2 linked regions of the Rhinolophus ferrumequinum genome follow. The protein of the gene in region 2 purifies or fractionates together with the protein of the main gene of each other region. This does not show direct contact. Links are inferred from orthologs where the notes say so. Each region holds a gene or a part of one and is shown on either strand. Other genes may lie near its edges.

Evidence for each region.
Region 1: the proteins of galectin-3-binding protein (region 2) and TUBGCP6 purify together in Homo sapiens (co-immunoprecipitation; 4 studies listed by BioGRID and IntAct, counting the BioPlex papers as one, with this or other methods). This does not show direct contact. The link is inferred for Rhinolophus ferrumequinum from reciprocal best matches to the Homo sapiens genes LGALS3BP and TUBGCP6.

What each region holds. Positions count from the first base shown.
Region 1 is NC_046293.1:454,568-464,027, reverse strand, and holds the start of TUBGCP6 (gamma-tubulin complex component 6), read right to left. Parts: upstream 3,966-9,460; 5' UTR 3,445-3,965; coding exon 2,626-3,444; intron 1,782-2,625; coding exon 1,618-1,781; intron 1-1,617. Other genes in the region: polyamine deacetylase HDAC10, read right to left, coding at 4,427-4,437, 4,597-4,756, 4,839-5,021, 5,208-5,286, 5,513-5,569, 5,717-5,808, 6,182-6,266, 6,384-6,648 and 12 more. UniProt on the Homo sapiens protein: Component of the gamma-tubulin ring complex (gTuRC) which mediates microtubule nucleation.
Region 2 is NC_046304.1:52,739,970-52,749,415, forward strand, and holds the start of galectin-3-binding protein, read right to left. Parts: upstream 4,048-9,446; 5' UTR 3,932-4,047; intron 3,224-3,931; exon of another isoform or gene 3,100-3,223; intron 1-3,099.

The DNA of each region.
Region 1 (9,460 bases), on a different chromosome or scaffold from region 2:
GTGGATGCGGCTGAGACCAGATCAGACAGAGGAGGAGCCCTGGGGGTCGGCCTGCAGAGGCCGCCTACGCTTATGCTGCCAGCTACAGTCCTCACAGGAAACACCCACCGTGGGGACACTGAGGACATTAAGTGCCTTGAGAACAGAGCTGAAGAGAGATTGGGGAGCGGTCATGTCTTCTGAACAGTGGCCTGAGAAACTAAGCTTAGAAAAGTAGTGTCAGCTAAAGGTCGTCGCTGACAGCTCAATGCCAACAGGAGTCCCCAACTTGGGGTGCGGGTGGGAAGAGACTTAACAGTTCAATGGTTAAACAGCTGGGCTGTGAGCCACTGAGAGACAGCGGCCCAGCCCCGTGTTGCTTCTCCACTCCAGCCCACCAGACAGCTCAGCTCTGCTCCACTGTCCTGCCTGCCCCCACGCTGGCCGGGTTTATAACGTACTCTGTCTTTGGCAGAAAGGGAAAGTGTGCTCTCCCAGCCAGGGGGAGTGACTCATATAGACAGAAGTCCCTGCCGCGGTCTGACTGCTCCGTCCTCATGCAAATGAGACTCCAAACCCTGTTTGATTTGTGTAAAAAACACTGTCCTGACTGATCAAATGGAGCCGCTCTGATTGGTCAGTGAAGATGCTAAGAGAAAGGGGTAACTTGTTGGGCCACTTTTTAGACATGTGAGGGCTCAACAGAAAGCCAGATGGTTAGACTGGCTTTGTACACAGAAGACAGGACTGAGGCCTCACAGGGTTACATGGCACAGACAGCGCTCGGAGACAAGACAGCTGCCCACACCGACAGAGCTTACGGAGCTGCTGTGTGGGGAGGAGTGCACGTGGGGAGGGTGACCATGCCAGGAAAGCTACCCCAGCAGGACCAGTGCACACACACACCTATGAAATGTCTGCCCCTGAGCAGGTGCTCAGGTGCGGGAGACCCTGCGGGAGCCCATGGCTGCATCAGGAGGCACTCAGCTCCCTGCTAACCACAGTTCTTTTATTCAGTGTTCCCTACGCTGGTATGTCACGGACCTACCCACAGATGACATGTGACAAGAGGGTGCCATGACCAAACGTTGAAAATCTGTGTCCTCTATTCCCATTCTGGAAGTTTCAAGAGACAGAAGCACTGTACAGACTCTGAGAGGTCCTGAGTGGACAGGCCTCTGGCCCCGGATGAGCCCCAGGAGCGAGCTTCAGGCAGCAGTCAGGGAAACCCTGCTGACGCGCTCACCAGCCAGAGCTCCCAGCCCTTCTAGATGAGAGGAACAGTGGGCATGAAGAAAACGCCTCTGGCAGCATCCCTTGTCTGGGACTGACCACACCGCCTGCCAGACCGCCCTCCTGGTAACGTGTTAACTCAGTTGTCACCTGACTGCTCTAACTGGAAAGTGTGATTTGTGGAAGTTGTGGCACATTGGGAACCTCAGTGAAGCCGGGGAGTCCTTTCTCCCAGACCTTCCTCTCAACTCCCAGAACAAAGACGACTCTGTGCACTAGCGTGACCAAGCTTCCAGGCTCCTAAACCCATCACAGCTGCTTCTACAAGCAACTCCCTGGGCTCTCAGGAAAGCCACATTCACAGCGGGGAGGAGAGAAGTGATTTAAGGGCAAACGCTCACGTACCAGCCAACTTGCTCCCAGCACCTCCGCTTGCTGGCCTCATAGGTGAGCACGGCCTCCCACAGGTCCATGTCGGGGGTCATGCCTGGTTCAGACTGGGAATCAGGAGTCAAGTTGGATGCTGACTGGAACCCTTCATCTTCCGATTGATCCACACTCTGAGGAACCTGGAGACCAGAGGAAAGAAGGAAATGCCACACACATCTTTGGGTCTACCTTCACCCAAGTGCGATCAGAATTCCAGGATTCCCCACACATTTTCACTTACTCATATGGGAAAGACCTAGCAGAATGTTTCTATTTTTCTGGAGCACGTGTGTACTACATAGTGTTTTTTCCTCCATTAAACCACTAAAAGTAATTAAACAAATTAATTTACTAATGTATCAATTCCAATTTCACACAATGCATAAGCCTCCATAGAACTTACAATGAAATTTTTCATGAAATGCCTCCAATCTGGAAATTCCATTTGGGGGATGCAGCATAAAAATCATACCAGAGACAGAAAAATTTACATAGACCAAGATGTTCACTAGAGCATCACCTTTGTCTGGGAATAACCTTAACACCCCAGAAGGAAGTGACTGGTGACAGCACATCCTTTCATCAGTACGTATAAAACCACCACATCCAAAGTCCAGTGATGCACCTGACGATGTAGGAAAACCGCACATTACAGGCGGAGAAGTATATAAAACTGCATGCAGAGTCTAAACAAATATTTTCTGCCACATGTGGCTACTGCACACTTGAAACGTGGCCTGTGCAACTGAGGAACTAAATGTCTCATTTTAATTAAGTTTAGAGGGCAATTTAGAGGGCAGAGGAAGTGATTTGACAACATGTCCTGTCAAATACAAGAGAAAAGCAGCACGTTGGTTTGCCTTACTGGTGGGCAGCAGCATCCTCGCCCAGGAAGGTGGGTGCCAGGAAGCCCACTCGGGCTGCCCCACCTCAGCATCAGCACAGCTCAGCCACCAAGTGACCTGGACTCCAGCGCTACCCTACCTTTACCGTGACAGAAGGAAGATCAAAGGAGGCTTTCCAAACGCCTCCACAGCTGCAGGCAGGAGAGGTGGACTGTACCTTAATACACAGTCCAGACAGGTCCACGCTGCCTGGCACCAGGGGCAAGTCCAGTCTGACATCCATGTCGTACGTGCGGCTGTGCACCAGGGCTCCGAAGAACGAGGCCCGGGTGTCTCTCTCAAACCTGTCACCGCAAGGGTCACCGTACGAGAAGAGCCCGACAGAGGGCAGACCGGTGCCCGGCGTCGCCTCCATCACCTGAAGCGCTTTCTGGATCGTGTCCTGACATAAATACTCCTCTCTGGAGATCAGAGACTGAACGTCCATCTCAAACACACTCAGATCATAGCAGTCGTAGCCGCTGTAAGGCACGTTTCTCCCAACGTGCTTGTTGTTGAAGAAGTAGTCCCGTTTGGGTGGCAGCACTTGAGGGGGCCCACTCCCTGCCAGCTGGACCAGGAGGTCCAAAACAGACCGCACCTCCCCAAGCGGACAGCAGGGGGCGGCTTCGAGTTTCTCTACCAGCTCCTCCAAACGATCAGCCTCGGGGCCCAGGCCACCGACTCTTAAGTCAAAGGACAGCATGAGCATCTTGTTTTTCACTGGGACTTTCCAGAGGTCAGGCTGCAGCTTATGAGTCTCATCTCGAAAAAGTTTCGTGAAAAGAGCGTTGTAGGCCACCCTCTTGAGGCTCTGCTTGGCCTCCTTTCGGCTCACGCTGCGCTGGCCCAGGTGAGCCTTTGCAGCGGGCAGAAGGGCCTCGCACAGGTCGTCGAACAGCTGGGTGATGCTGGCCATGCCCACCCCGTCTCAGCTCCGGGCCCTCAGCGCGTGGGAAAGCGTCTCACCCGGGCTGCACGTCGCCCTCTGAAAGCCAAGGAGCGGATCGCACAGGGCTGACTGGCAGGCGGCCTCCTTAACCAGCGTCTGGAGGCTCAGGACTTGTATTTTAACGGCGGTCTTGCGGTGGTTCTGCCCTCCCCGGCCCGGCCCATGGCCGCCTGCACCCCGCGGCCCGCCACAGCCTGCAGAGCGCCAGCTTGGCACCTCTCCAATTCCGTAGCCCTCAACCTTTAGGGGTCACAGAACCGTGACAAACCCAAGGAGACGCGCGCGGGCAGTAGGCAGTGCACGGACCCGGCTTTGCACGTTTTCTCGGGGCCGCCCGAGGAGGGAGCGGGGTGCCCGGCAGGGGGCGTGGGGTCAGGCCCGCTCAGCCGCCGGCTCACCAGGCCTGGTCCAAAAAGAGCGCGCCGCATCAGCGCCCGCCGCCGTGGCGTCACTGCCACGCGACCCGCAAAACCGCTGGAGCTGGCGCGCCGGAATTGCGTCACCGGGGAGGCCGGCGGCCCGTACAGAGGGGGCGGGGCCAGGGCGAGCAGGGGGCGGGGCCTGGAGGCCGCCACCCCAGAGCACTTTCGGCTTCCGGTTTGAAGCCGCGTTCCCACAGGTGGGGGAACTGAGGTCCGACGCCGCGGGCTCAGTGACGGAGGCGGAGTCAGACTTTCGCTTAACCCTTTACTGAATGGAGTGGAGGGGGGTTGGGCGGGGCCTTCCGTGCAGAGGCGAGTGTGCAGTGGGGCTTCAGGTCCCTGCAGTGGACACTGCCCCTGCGCCAGTGCGCTGGGCGGCCCGTGGCCTGGACATCAGGACAGAGGCCTCTGGCAGTGGTGTTCGGGTGAATGTTTAACAACCGGCTCTTGGGGGACTGGTTGGTAGTGTCATTTCCGGGGTGTAAGTCCTCCCACCTAGCTGATTTCCAGCAACCAGGTCACAGCACTCAAACGGGAGCTGGGAAGAGGCACACAGTCAGCTTGGCTCTGCTCTGAGCTGGTGCAGGGCAGCACCCCACGCCCCAAGACCTGCGCCCCTCCCGCCCCGGAGCTCTAAGGCAGAACTGTCCCCCCACAGCCACAAGCATTGAACCTGAGTCTTGTCCCCCAGTCTCACCGGCCACCTGCAGCATCTTCCAATGTGGCTGCAGCTGCCCTCTCAGGTACTTCAGGGCCTGCGTGTCCTCTGGGGAGGCCACAGAGAAGGGACCGAGGCTGGGGGGCGCCTCCCCACACAGCACCCGGGCCAGCACTCCCGCGAGCCGTGGTGTGGACTCCTGGGCCAGGGCAGAGATGAAAGTGAATCACTGGTCTCTCCCCACCTCCCACCGCACAGCACGTCCACCCTGCCTAACTCACCGCATCCACGAGGGCCAAGACTCGGCCCCCTGCTGGCACCCTCAGCAGTGCGGCCAGGAGTGCAGCTTGGGCGTCCTGCAGGCCATGAGCCGGCCCCAGTGCCAGCAGCACCAGGTCAGGCTGGAAGCCATAGGCCAGGGGCAGCACCAAGGCCAGGACACAGTTCAGGAATCCACCAGTTGTCTGTGGGAGGGACAGAAGCATAGCCCAGCCCCTCACCCAGGGGACACCCCTCCTGCCAGTCTTGGGTGGGCAGCCACACCACCAGTCCCCTCAGGAGGCCAAGAGGGCAGGTGAAGGCCAGGGGCCTGGCCCTCATGATGGTGCCAGTGAGCAGCCACTGCCCAGCCCTGGGACACCATCACTCACCGCTGGCAGTGGCACTGACACGTGGAACGTGGACAGGGCAGCTGCCTCCTTGCCCCTGATGTTCAGCCACAGATTCCTCCTTCCGGGGGAGAGTGAGCACATGGACATGTGTCCACTCACCCTCCAGAGCCCACGATAGAGGGGAGCTCAGGGGTAGGGGTTCTGGGAGTGCTGACTCTGCCAGAGACCCTCCTGGCACTGCTCCCAACGACCCGTCAGCCCACCCACCCATCACCTCTGGGAACCCAGAGCAATGTGCCCCCCCCCATGCAGAACAAGACGTACACGTGACCCAAGAGTCATACCCATCATCAGCAAGGTCTGAGGGCCGGTCCAGCTGTCCCACGGCCACACACAGCAGCCTAGAGGAAGAGTCGGCCCCAGGACAGGCTGATGCACCCCCCCACACACCGGAGTCCATTCTCAGAGCCCTCCCTACGTGGCCAGCCAGGGCGGGGGTGCCCATGGGCCATGCCCTCGGAGGCTCAGGCCGGCCAGCCTACGCTTACCTCTGGGCTCCCTGGGACAGTCCGCGCCGAATGGCCACATCCAGGGTGGCAGCTGCAGCAGGGGCTGGGGTGTCTGTGATGCCGCTGCTCACCTGAGGAGTGTAAGAGCAGTGGAGAGCACCCCCCAAACCAGGGAAACACCCATCAGTCCCTTCTTTTGGTCCCTGCCTCAGTGACTGTCATCCGTAAACTCTGAGGTCTAATTGTTCCACTTCTGAAAATAAGATGCTCACAGTTTGCCCCTCTCTGCCAAAGAGCATTTAGTTGAGGGGCCTGATGGGGTGCTCATGACCCTGTCCCTGGGGCTGTTGTGGGAAAGGTCTTGGGCACAAGGTGACACTCATGTCCACGGGTTCTGTACCTCTCAGCATTCCCCTGGACAGGCCACTGGTCCTGGGCAGGTCCTGGGCCCTGGGCCCTGCCCCCAGCTCCACAGTCACCCCAGCCCTTTCCAGGTGCCCCTACCTGCCCGTCCAGGATCCCATCCAAGAGGTATAGGACCTTCCCAAGTGCAGTGAGGGCCTCGTCTTTGGCCAAGGCCTCATGTAGCCTGTGGCAGGCAAACCAGAGGAACACATCGCCACGGGGTGACACAGACCACAGGTGAGTCACACAAGGGTACGTGGTGGACACAGCCCCATCCCATTCCCCAGCCCATTCTGCCCACCTGGCCCAGGCCTGCATCTCCTCCTGCGGGGCTGACCCCTCCTCACAGAGGACATCAGGGGGCAGGACCAGGCCAGCGCCCAGCGAAGTCAGGGCAACAGCCGTGCGGACAGGAGGTGTAGGCTGGAGGCACAGCTGGTCTAGGAGGGAGCTCAGTGCTGCCGCGGCCTGGGCTGCTGCAGTCTTGAATTCAGAACCCCCAGGCAGCAGAGTCGAGGGTCTCCCCTCTGGGGAGTAGTTACTGGGACTTGGGACGGGGACCGGGCCTAGGAGTGGTTCAGAGTCTCAGCCACTGTGTAGGAGCCCAAGGTGCAACCCCCCCACCCAGCCCACGCCACACTGACCTTCCTGCTGGAGGCTTGTCCAGTGAGGGGCCTGTGCTGCCCGGACACTCTGGATGGACTCCAAGGCGCTATGGGGAGAACCAGGAATGGTGAGGCCTGGCCTGGCAGCCACAGCCCTTCCCACCCTTCTGCCCCTCGCACCTGTGATGTGGCACCATGGGCCCCGACAGGGGTGGGGCAGGGTCACCCAGCAGGGCCTGCACCATCATGCACACTGACTGGGAGAGCGACTCCAGGTGGTAGCCACCCTGGGAGGAGGGAGGAGGGCAGAGGTGTGACTGGGGCAGGGGTATTATTGGGGGGCAGGCCCCTCAGGCAGCACCTCAGCCTCTGGCCCGTGGGCCCTCCCTGCTCACTATAGTCACCTCCAGCACAGCGCAGACCCGGCCACCAGCCAGCACCTGCAGCAGCTGTGTGAGGTGGGCGAAGCACTCTGGCGTGGCCTGCATCTGCCCCTGGAACCAGAGCAGGTATGACGGGGCCTGGCTGCAGGACCCCAGCAGAGAAGCCCTCCCAGCCAGGCCGGGCCCTCACCTCGGGGTCCCCGATCGCTGAGTCAAATCCTGCCGCGACTAGCACCAGCTCAGGGTCAAACTGTGGGCAGGGCCAGGTGGGGTGGGGTGAAGGGGAGGCCCTTCCAGAGAGACCGTCCCCACCCCAGGGCTCAGCTCTGCTCCAGTGGAGTGGGGGGGAACTCTGGGCATTGAGTCCCCCTCCCACCCTCCTGCCCCTGTCCCCCACACGGTCACCTCAAAGGCCACAGGGAGAAGCACATGCAGGAAGGCAGCCACGTAGTCAGCATTTCCCATCCCGACCTGCAGCCACGGGCGTCAGCGGTGGGCCCCGTCAGGGGGGCTGTGGGGCCTTCACTCCTGGAGCCCGGGCTCTGGGGGTGACCCTGGCAGGATGCCCTGGACTACACTCAGGAGGCTTGGAGCTGTGGGGTGGGGGATGTGGGCTGGGTGGGGGATCTGGGGAGTAGGGTGGGTGGTGAAAGGTGGCACCTGGTTCCAGGGCAAGTTGACAGTGAAGCCTCGGCCCTGTCCCTGCCCGACAGTGTCTGCATTGGACTCTCGCAGGTAGGGCCAGAAGCGCCCATGCTCATAGCGGTGCCAGGAGAAGTAAAGGATGCTAGGGATAACCGGCCATGGTCAGAGGTCAGCGGTCAGGACCCTCAGCCCCATGGCTCCTCTCAGAACCCTGACCCTGGAGCAAACCACCATGTCTTCCCACTTGGATTTTCCCAGGCCAGGCTACGTGCCCCGGAAGAGTGGGGTCCCCGCCCCCAGGTCACCTGGGGTCGTCCTCAAAGGTATACTGGATGCCCTGGCCATGGTGGACATCCCAGTCAACGATGAGGATCCTGGGGACAGAGAGCACGGAGGTCACAAGGGCAGTGGCCTCCCGCCTCCATGCCAGAGCCTAGTCCAGGATGCAAGGGGCTGGGTGGGGTCTCAGCAGCAGCCCTTCCATCTGGCCCCGCCCCCTGCAGCTGGCCCAGCACACACCTGTGCAGCCCATGCTTCTCCTGGGCATGTTTGGCCGCTAAGGCCACATTATTGAACACACAGAATCCATTGGCGGCAGCCCTCTGGCTGTGGTGCCCAGGAGGCCTGCAGGTGAGAGCGGGGCATGGGGCATGGCACGGTCACCCTGTGCCCACATGGGAAGCAGCTATGGTAGGGGGACAGCTCTCACCTCACCAAGGCAAACCCGTTATGCACAGCTCCTGTCAGTACTGCATCCACCAGCTGCAGCCCGGCCCCTGCAGCCAGCCGGGCACAGTGGAAGGTACTCTGTGGGGGGAGGGGTGAAGATGAGCCCCCCCACCACTACACCTCAGACTCTGCCCAGCCCTGTGCCAGGCTGCAGGGCACGAAGCGCTGAATGGAATGGGCCAGGATCGTCCCAGGTGCAAGCAGCGGCAGCCAGCAGGTGTGCAGGGTGTTGGCATGTCCATGAACTTGGGGACTTTGGCCAGGTCTGGCGGCCATGGGCGTGAACAAGCATGTGTGTCTGGGTGGGTGGGTGTGTCCCCAGGGCACGCACCGGATGGAAGTAGATGGCATCATACTGTCTAGACAGTGCCTGGAGCTCCCTCGTGCCCAAGGCCTGGGTCCCCCGCAACAGGGCCACGTACTCTGGGCTGCAGAGGAGCAGGCAGGGAAGGCAGGGTCACTAACATGAATGGAGAGAAGAGGAAAAGAGGGGCAAACCCTAGGTGGGACTGCCCACCTCATTGCTCCCTCCCCCACCCACCCGATGATGAAACTGAGGCACATGGGGGAGAGGCACTGTTTGTGCAGTGCTGGCAGGCCCAGGGAGGCCCAGATCCTCGGCTGCGACCTGTGTCCTCCAGGGTATGTGGCCTGCCAGGGTCTGACCTGTGCACCAGGCCCAGCTCTGCCTCTGAGGCCTCTCGGGCAGCCAAGCGCAGGCACCTCTGCTCCAGGCCGCGCTGCTGCAGGCGTTCCAGGGCGGTGGTCAGGCGCTCAGGAGACTCGATCTCACACTCGGGGCTGAGTGGACACAGAGCTCAGAGTCCAGAGTCCCCTCCCCTTCCCCCGCCTCTGCCAAGTCACACTTACTCCTCCCACAGCAGCCTGGCCTCGGTCATGTCCTCGTGGTACACGAGTGCGGTTCCCATGGGCAGGCCGTGGTCACTTTGTGCCACCCGGTGGGAGGACCCAGACGCCCCCACTCGCCAGCGAGTGTACTGTCGTTCCCCTCCTTG
Region 2 (9,446 bases):
GAACTAGCGTCAGTGTAAGGGCTGTGTCTGTAGCTCCCCAGGGCACCCCCCGATTCCAGGGGGGCAGCACGCTGTCTTGGTACACACCCAGGGAGTAGAGTGAGCAGCCCCTCCACTGCAGCCAAGAATCAGGGCAGGCTCAGACACCCCCACCTTCACCTTCACCCCCAGGCTGGCCTCCGCACCCGACACAAGGCTTACATTCAGCTCACAGCCAAGAGGGTCGCTTCCCCGGTTTCCTGTAGGAGTGGCCCGGACAGGTGGCAGAACAAACAGGTTTAAGGCAGCTACCTGAGCAAAACTCTGACCTTTCAGGATCCAGGGAGGGCCGGAAGCACAGTTCAGCTCGGAGATAAGGTGGCCCGCTCCCAGCTCCCTGCCTCAGGGACGGGGCAGCCACTGTCCTCCCCAGGCCCTGGGGTCTGCAGAGTGGCTGCCTCTCCTTCTCCACCACGGTCTCTGAACGGTCCTAAAGAGCCATCAGACTGCAGGCAGGAGTCCCTAGTCTGCCCACCGGCAAAGTGCACTTTCTGGTTGGAAAGTAGAGTGACACGCGCTGACCTTCAGACTCCTTACAGGCAAGACAGACACCAAGGGCCTCCAGCACCAGCGCTGACAGCGTCTAAACCCAGCTCTCTGGATCCTCCCTTCGCCCGCCTGTCCCTTACTCAGCCCCTTCCGTGACAGGCAATCACGACTGCTCACCGAGTCAAGTTAAATACAGTTCGGGTGACTTCTTTTTCTGTCCTTTGTTTCTGTTTGTAAGTCAGCCGCCCAAGCGGAGTGTGTCAGTTGTCTCCTGCTGCTGTAACAGCAGTGCAGGCTGCACAGCTTGAACACCACACACTTACTTTACAGATGCAGGACGGAAGTCCGACATGGGTCACACTGGGCCAAAATAAAGGGCTGGTCCTTTCAGAGGCTCGAGGGGAGGACCCGTCTCCTGGCCGTTTCCAGTTGCTAGCGGCTGCCCTCAGCCCGACTTGTGGCCCCTTCCTCCACCTTCAAAGCCAGCACTGTTGCATCTCCCTGGGCCTTTCCGCCATCATCCCCTCTGACACTCTCCGGCCCCCCTTCCACTGGTAGGGCCCTGTGGTCACACTGGGCCCACCTGGCCAATCCAGGACGAGCCCCCATTTTTAAGGTCAGATGATAAGTACCTGGAATTCCACGTGCTCCCTTAGCCCCCCTTTGCCACATAACACATTCGCAGGTCCCGGGGGTCAGGGCGTGGACCTCTGCGGGTGCGGATGGGCATTACTCTGCCGGCCACAGGGGCCGGGAAGAACCTACAGCTTTTCCCGGGGGCCGGGACCATTCACACAGCTCTGCCTCGGGGCGGGGGGCACAGCCTGAGTCTGCACTTCATCCTTACACCACAGCCGCTGTGCGTGCATAGTTTGTGCCGTCATCTAGGACTTTTGGAAAACAGCTGCCCTCCCAGTTGAAAGTGCCCTCATCCCAAACAAAACTACGCATCTTCGGCTTGTTTTTTGGAGAGCCCGGAACAAGGGGATGTGATAATCCCACGATCGGCCCAAGTCAGGGCTGCTCCCACAGACAGTGGACGCACCTGCCTGAACCCACCTGCTCTCCCGCGTGCCTCAGCGCGGGGCTACCAGGCACAGTGGCCAGCGAGCCATTCTAGACGGCTCCAACCTCACGCTCACGCCCACACTGTCATGCGCCCTCACTGTACCTGGTCAGGCCCCACGTGCACATGGCCCCGCCTCACTTCCCACGGCATGGTCCCTGGCTGGGCAGGGATGGCAGGGCACTCTGCTTGGGAACCGGAACTGTGACTTCCATTTAATGGCAGCGCTACTACAGATAAATGAGTGGGATTCAAAAGAAATGCAGACAAAAACAGAAAAACGAACATTTTCCCAAACAGGTTTTGCTAATATCAGGACTTTGTCTTGGTCTGATGAAAAGGAAAATCAACATAAAAGTGCTAAACAATTAATAGAAAAAATTTTAAATTCCCTTAACGTTGGCAATTAATAAGAACTTTCCAGAAATCTCCATAGTCCAGAGTGTCACTGAAAGGAAAATAATTTTTTTTTTTCAGTATCCTGGGTACCACGCCACAAATGTCTGTACAACAGGGAAACGTCTTCCTTGTCATAATACCGATCCAGTTCAGGACTCTGAACCATATTCCCCGATCGGAGATATTCTGTTTTTGAAAGAGAAAACACTAGAGCATTTATACACCTACCCTATACAGTTGCCATGACGACTGCCACAGTGCTGCCAAGAAAGTCCTGAGACTCAGATGAAAGGGGCCATGTGTATTTGTGGGAGCCCACAAGCGCTCACCTCAAAGGCCCCCTTCAGGGGGTGGGGATGAACACACCCCGAGCGAGACCTGCCCCCCACCCGGCACCCTGGTGTCTCCTCACTCCTCTGGGGCTTGGAAGACATGCAGATTAGGTGCAGTTGGACTGGCGGGTAGAAATTTCCTCAAGCACCAGCAGCCTAAACCAACGCCTTCACTACGTTGCTGTGGGCTATGAAAATATGGCGTGAACTACATTTGGGGGAACAAAGGAGACGTTTAGCTAATGGAAGGTATCAAAGGATCAGATTTTTACAGCTGAGGGATCACATGGTGACACACTGGTACCCACACCCTTGGAAATATGTGATTTCCTCCACCACCGGGCGAGGCAGCATCACCTTTGTGATCAGGTTCATTTGGACACGAAAGAGTAAGACCCAGAATCCTGTGTCCCAGCCCACTGGTGGTGGCCTTGTGACAGTGCCTGACCAAATCTGGGCTGCACAGGACTGGACACCCCTGCACTTCCAGAGGGGAGCAGGCTGGGCTGTTAACGTGCCTCTCAGCAGGGCACTCGGGGCTGAACAGAAGGTCACTGAGGCCGGCAGGGAGGGCCACCAGGAGGCCACCCTGGCTCTGGAAGAGGCCCCACTGAGCCCACAGGCTCAGGCTGCATTGTTTGCGGCTGAGGCCCGTGGGCTGGGGCTGGGGGCTGGACAACGCTCTGCAGCCCAGCCCAGGAAGACCTAACTCAACGAGCTCCTCAAGGGGGAGGAACGGGAGGCTGAGCACCTGCCTCCTTTCCATGGACCTACCTGCGACTGTGCTTTTGTCAAGTTTTGGCCCTTACACCCAAGTGCCGGCAAGATTCAGGTGACACCAGCAGATGTGTGTTCCCAAACTTGCGCTTTGTCCGAAACGTGGTAGGAAAAGCCGTCAAGCACATACCCCGAAGCAGGAATGAGACATGGGGCCGATGTGCTGCTGAGAGACACGGGTTTCCTGAGGGACACAGGTGCTTGGGAGAAAGCGGGGTCTGGCGCACGGAAGACTGCCGGCAGGTGTTAACGCCTGCCAAACCTAGGCACACAGAGGGCACGGGAAACGCACCGAGGGTGGCAAGGAGGCGGTGATCCCCAGGGATAAAAGGATCCAGACCAGATGGGGGAGCGCAAGGCGCGCAGAGGGAAAGGGGAGCGTGGCCCGTTTGAGTGCAAAAGGGAGGAAAGGGAGCTGCGCTGGGGGCAGGGAGAGCAAGGCCTGGCTTGGGGTGGGGAAGGCTGGCGCGCTGCAGGGGTGACCCGGTGCCAGGCAGGGCGGGCGGGCTCCCGAGCCCATCAGGAGAGGCCCTGCCCAGGTCCGAGTGGCGGCACCGAACACGGCGCGGGCGCTAGTCCGCGCCGTCAGACTCCGCCAGTCAGACGGGGGAGGAGTCTCCGAGTCAGAGGGGTAGGTGTCGCCCCCCGTCGGTAGGAGGGGACAGTTTCTCCGAGGCACCCCCGTCCGAGGGGACCGCTGACCTGTGGGTCAAGGGGCCCCAATAGGTCAGACAGGGAGGGAGCGTGCGGGGTCGGAGGGCGGCGGCAGGCGCTGGGGAGGCCGGCGCGAGGGGGAGCGCGGGCGGCTGCGGGCGCGGCCTTCACTCACCCGGGGCGGGCTGCTTCGGGGTCCCGCGGAAGCCGGGGCCTCGCTGCGGGAAGGGCCGGGACCGAGCGGGCGGCCGACTTCCGCCCGGCGCGCTCGTCCCGCCTCCGGGCAACACGCTCCCGGCAGCCTCTGCTCTGCGGCTGCGCGCCGGCCGCGTGCAGGGAGCTACTGGAAGTTGTAGTTTTGGATGCTCAGCGAGCTGGGCCGGGGGAAGGACCGGAGGGAGGAGGGCTGTCCGCGCTCCCCACCCGCAGGCCCCTTCCACCGCGTTATTCTGGAACGTCGGCCGAGCAGAAAGGGGAGGGGGGCGGAGGTGAAGGCTACGGGGAGGGGGGGTATCATTCCTCGAGCTGAGATTGTGAGACCCCTTGCCTGGTCCCCCGGACCTTCGTGGTCCTCCCGGGGCGTAGAGGCACGGAACCATTTCTGCCACCCTCATTCTCAGAGCCCTTCCCTTGGCTCTTCTAACCGCCTACGTCTGAATGTAGCTCAGTTTCCAAAGCAAAGGTCAGTACACAGGTGTACAGGCAGGAGCGGCCTGGGCTTGGGCCCCCCTAACTTGCAATCAACGAACCCCTTTCCAAACATGGGTCTCTAATTCATCCCGTTTCTCCAGCCCCCTGAGCTATTTGAATGGACTATGTTAAAAGGCATCCCGGCCCCTCACCCCTAAGTCCTGTAATGATGCTCATTTTAGAAATCCTGGAAGAAAAAAAGAAAAAAAAAAGCCCTATAGTAGTGGAGCGTCACACAGGAGCATGGCGAGGGGGTGCGTCAGTGCTCCCGGTCTGCACCTTCGGTCTCTGCATGCACACATCCCTGGTCTCTCAACAGCCTTCCATCAACAGACGCACAAGAGAAATTTCAAATTATATAAATGGTGCGCAGTGAAAGATAACCCTCCCTCCATACCCCCTCTGCGTTCCCTCCCCAGAGGTAACCATTAGTACTAGTTTCTTGTGGTCATTCTTACAGATATTTTGTGACACACAAACGAATCATAGCACATATGTTAAATTACTTTTAAACCTAATGGAAATGTGCTAAACATAAGGCTCTGCGTTTTTGAGGGGGAGGGGAGAAAAAAAACCTTTGCTGAATTCATTTATATTTTCCATCATATTAAACTGTATCCCAACCATATACCATATACTACAGTGTTTCCCCGAAAATGAGACTGGTTCTTATATTACTTTTTGCTCCAAAACACGCATTAGGGCGTATGTTCAGGGGATGTCATCCTGAAAAATCATGCTAGGGCTTATTTTCCGGTTAGGTCTTATTTTCGGGGAAACACGGTATAATTATTTTAAATTATTCACATCTTTTTTTTACTAAGATATCTACTTTCAGGTATGGCTCCCAACTTAAAAATAAAACACTAATCTTGTTATCTAGAGAGCTCTCTAGGTACTCCTTCCTGTTGCCAACTTCCTCCCACCCCAAGAGATAAACACAATCTTGAATGTTGTGGTAATCATTCTTGTGCTTTATTTTGTAATTTTAGCAAATAGGTTTGTATCCCTAAACTATATATATATATATATATATATATATATATATATGCATGTATTTTACAAAAATGAAATAGACCTGTTGCAATGGGTGAGCAATCCCATTGGCCCACAAGTACTATCAGGTGTATTCATTCATTTTACCAATCTGATAGCATGAAATGTCTTCTCCTTGCCTGATTACTGAGAAGTTGTGTATCTTTCTCAGATTTTTTTGATATCTATATATCTATATATCTATCTTTCTTCTGCTGCACATGCCCCAACATCTCAGTGCTGTTTTTAGAAAAGAATCCATCCTTTCCCCATTGATGTATGTGCAGTGCCAGTTTTGCCATAGCTCAAGTCTCCAGGGACATGTGGCTCTGTTTGGGAATTTCTGTTACTGTATGGGTATAATATTTCATATCAGCTCAATACCACTGTCCTCATTATCACCTCTTTATACTAAGCCTTCATAGGGTGCAGGACTATTGCCCTCCCCACCCCCACAGCAGCCCACATGCCCCTACCTTTTAGGATGTTAAATAGAATTGCTTCGAATCTGTAGATTGATTGGGAGAGAACTGAGATGTTTATGATATTGAGTCTTCTCCCCAAGAACGTGGTTGCCTTTCCGTTTACGTAGGTCTTTTTAAAAAAGTTTTTCAGTAAGGTTTGTAATTTTTCACTTCACAGAATAGCTTGTCCCATAGCATTTTACAGAGAGCTGCTTCATTCTCCACAGAGCGGTGTGTGGCATTCCACCGTGTGGATGGGATGTCATCTACTTTACCAGGCCCCGGTGATGTTCTTTCGGGATATCTGTGATCTTTTCACATTACAGCGATGTTACTTATTTGGGCACAACTATGAAGATATATGTAGGATCCCCAGAATAAATATTATCCCCAGAAGAAATATTACTATATCAAAGGGTGTTTGCATCCTCTAGTGAGTAGACAGACTTCCGCAGAGGTTGTGCCGTGAAATTGCACTCCTTATGGTCAGTGACTCCACGGACATCTACAACTAGGTTTTCCTTCAGTTTTCATTCCCTTTGTCTTCTTCGCATCACTGGAGACTTCACCATGGCCTTCTGCAGGAAATTCTCTCCTCCTTTGGTTTCTGGGCTGTGCATGAACAACGAAAAATTCTTCACTTTAGTCATTCATTCATGTGTTGAGTTACTCAATGGACTCACTCATTCATTTCAAAGTCGAGTGCTTAGAATTATGCAGTCCACCAGGGGGCCCTCCCATTTTATTAAAACATTGCCTTACGGTCTGTCTATGCCAATCTCTGAAAGTTCCCAAAAGGAATTCTCAAAATAGGGATGGAAATGAGAGATGGAGAAACTGAGGCATGGGGCATGACATGGCATCATTAGAGTCAGAAAGCACAGAAATGGTCAAAGTGAGACTGCACGTGTATTTTTTTTTTAAATCCCTGACTGCCCGTCTTTGCATCAAGAGTGCAGAGGGGACTTCCATGAAAGGTTTGTCCTCCTTAGAGGGGTCTCCTGCAGGTGTGAGGAGCATGAGGCAGCAGACCCGCCTGCTCTGTCCTTGTAGCTGCCAGTCCTGATTCCCACCTGCCCTGAGTCTTCTCGACCACGGGCACTGCCATCTAGGAGCAACGAGCGTGGGCCAGCGGCCAGGGAGGCTGGATCTGGCTGCCAAGTTTCCATCTCAGCTCCTTCCCCGAATCTCCACGGAGACTCTCCCACCCCCACCCCTTGGCAGTGAGACCCTGCCATCTGAGCCTGCCTGTGGTTACCCTTCAGATAGGAATTCAAAAGTCTGCAATCGGCCTCTGCCGTTGTGGGACAACTGGGCAGCCCGGCCCAAAATAGCTGGGAGAGGCAGAATGTTAGGGCCGCAGTGGGAAAAATCACAGTGCTGCTAATGACAGGCTGTGCTGATCTGGAACCAAGGGTCTTACAGACTTCAACCAAGGTCACATAGTTTTCTGCAACGATGAGAAAACAGACATGGTGAGTAGCAATGATATGCCCAGGGAAAGCAAGGAATTGGCCAACTTGGGAGGACACAGAGTGTCCTGCCTTCTGGGCCTCTATCCCAGAGAATGTTCTCGCATGGGTCTCTGGGCTTTACATCCCATGAGCTGCCCTTGTCTGAGCAGACGAGCCACTTGGGAATATTCAGGAAGCCTTTGAATCTTGGCCTTGGCCCAGACATCCTTTGTGTAGGTATGAGCTCCCAGGGAATTCCAGGATGGGCGTGGCCATCTGGAAGCCCAAGACAGAGTCCTTGGGGGGTGGGGGCCTCCTCATGCTGGTTGGCCCTGGCCTCTGACCCGTCACAAGGCTGATGAAATCTCCCCCAGGCACTGCTATTGGCTTTGGGTTCTGATGTGTTAATGCTGTTGGGTTTTTTTTTTTTTTTTTGCCATGACTCCTGTCCCAGCTCCAGTCAGGACTCTGTCCAACAGGAAGATACTTGCTGAACTGAGAAGGTTCTGTCCTGGTTGCTTGGGGGCGCTACCGCCGACCCTGGAGGAGAACCAGGCCGTCTGTAAGACCGCCCCTAGCTTGACAAATTTCCCATCTTTCCTCCTCAAAATTTTAAAGCAGAAAATGACGTTGATGACAAAGGGCATCAGGGCCATGGCCAGCTGTGTTTTGGTATTTTATTTCCTTTATTGAAGGCTGACTTGCATTCTTTGGGAGCCTGGCCTTGTTGGCTTGAGCTGTGGGCCGTGACGCTACGGCCCAAAATGTGCTCGGACCTCAGTTCCTGTGCTTCTGAGCTCCCCACGCCTCTGAGCCTTCTGTTTCACACCAGCATCTTGGGAAAGCCCAGCTCTTGTTGCCACGTTTAATACCACCCCCTGCCTCCAGGAAAATGAGTAATCCCTTTTCTAATCTCTCGGGAGACGTGGGGGCTCAACCCAGGAGAAGGGAGGGAAGAAGACTATACTTACAATGATGACAGTTGTGATGAACATTCCAGCACTTTGTACCTGCTCCGTCAACCCTTCATCAACTGTGTGAGAAATTAGTTTCATAATCCTCTGACAACTTCGTTTTCCCCTAAATTGGGCACCAACGAATTTGACAGAACAAGGTGACGCAAACTGCGAGGCTCTGAACGGCCTTCGTTTACCCCACGGCCGAACCTGCAAGTATCCAATGAAGGGGTGCTGCCCCCCAACCGCTGGGGTGGATGCTCTGTTTTATTTGCATCTTACTCTGAGCACATCTGGCCTCACGGGTTCCACGGCAGAGACCCGTGGACCTGTCTCTGCTTTACAGATAAGGAAACGGTAAGGCCCACCGAGCTGGGGCAGCGCTCCCAAGCTGAGGACTTACGGGGTCCCGCCACTGGACTTCTAGAGCTCTGCTCCATCCTGGCCTCCTCCCCGCCCAATTCGTGGCTTTGAATTATCTATGAGGTAACTGTCCTTTACTTCTTCAACACCAAAACTGTCTTGGAAGGGGTGAAGGGAGGGGACAAATCGTCCATCTTTGCGTCTGTTTCTCTTTCAAGCCGCGTGCCCAGCTTCGTGTGCAGAGGTCCTCTGTGGGTCCAGCGCTCCCCAGGCCTGAGTCCCTGGGTAGGGCAATGGGGAGCTTTCCCATTGCATCCATGGGGTTCCCGATTCACTACAGTTCCAAGAAACACGCGGACCCGAGAAACACGCGGAGCCTCGCACATCCTGGACGAAGGTCCCGCAGGGGCCGCATGGAGATGGAGCCTCTTCTGCTTCTCTTGCTGTGGTGTGCTCTGGCCTCCCCGCTGCAAAGGCTATTTGAGGACGGAATGCTAGGGGAAGGTCAGTCCTGTGCCGGGCCTGGGTCTTGTTGACGGGAAAGTCCTTCGAGTTACGTACAGGAACGAAGCCGACGAGCTTATCTCGGGGTTTTCCTGTGTCGATAATCAACCATGGATGTAAGTTTGGCCAAGCCTCAGACACATGCAACTCCCAAGTCTTCTAACACCAGTTGAAACAGCATCTCCAATGGGGTTTCTGAATCTTGCCAGAGTGTCCGTGAATTC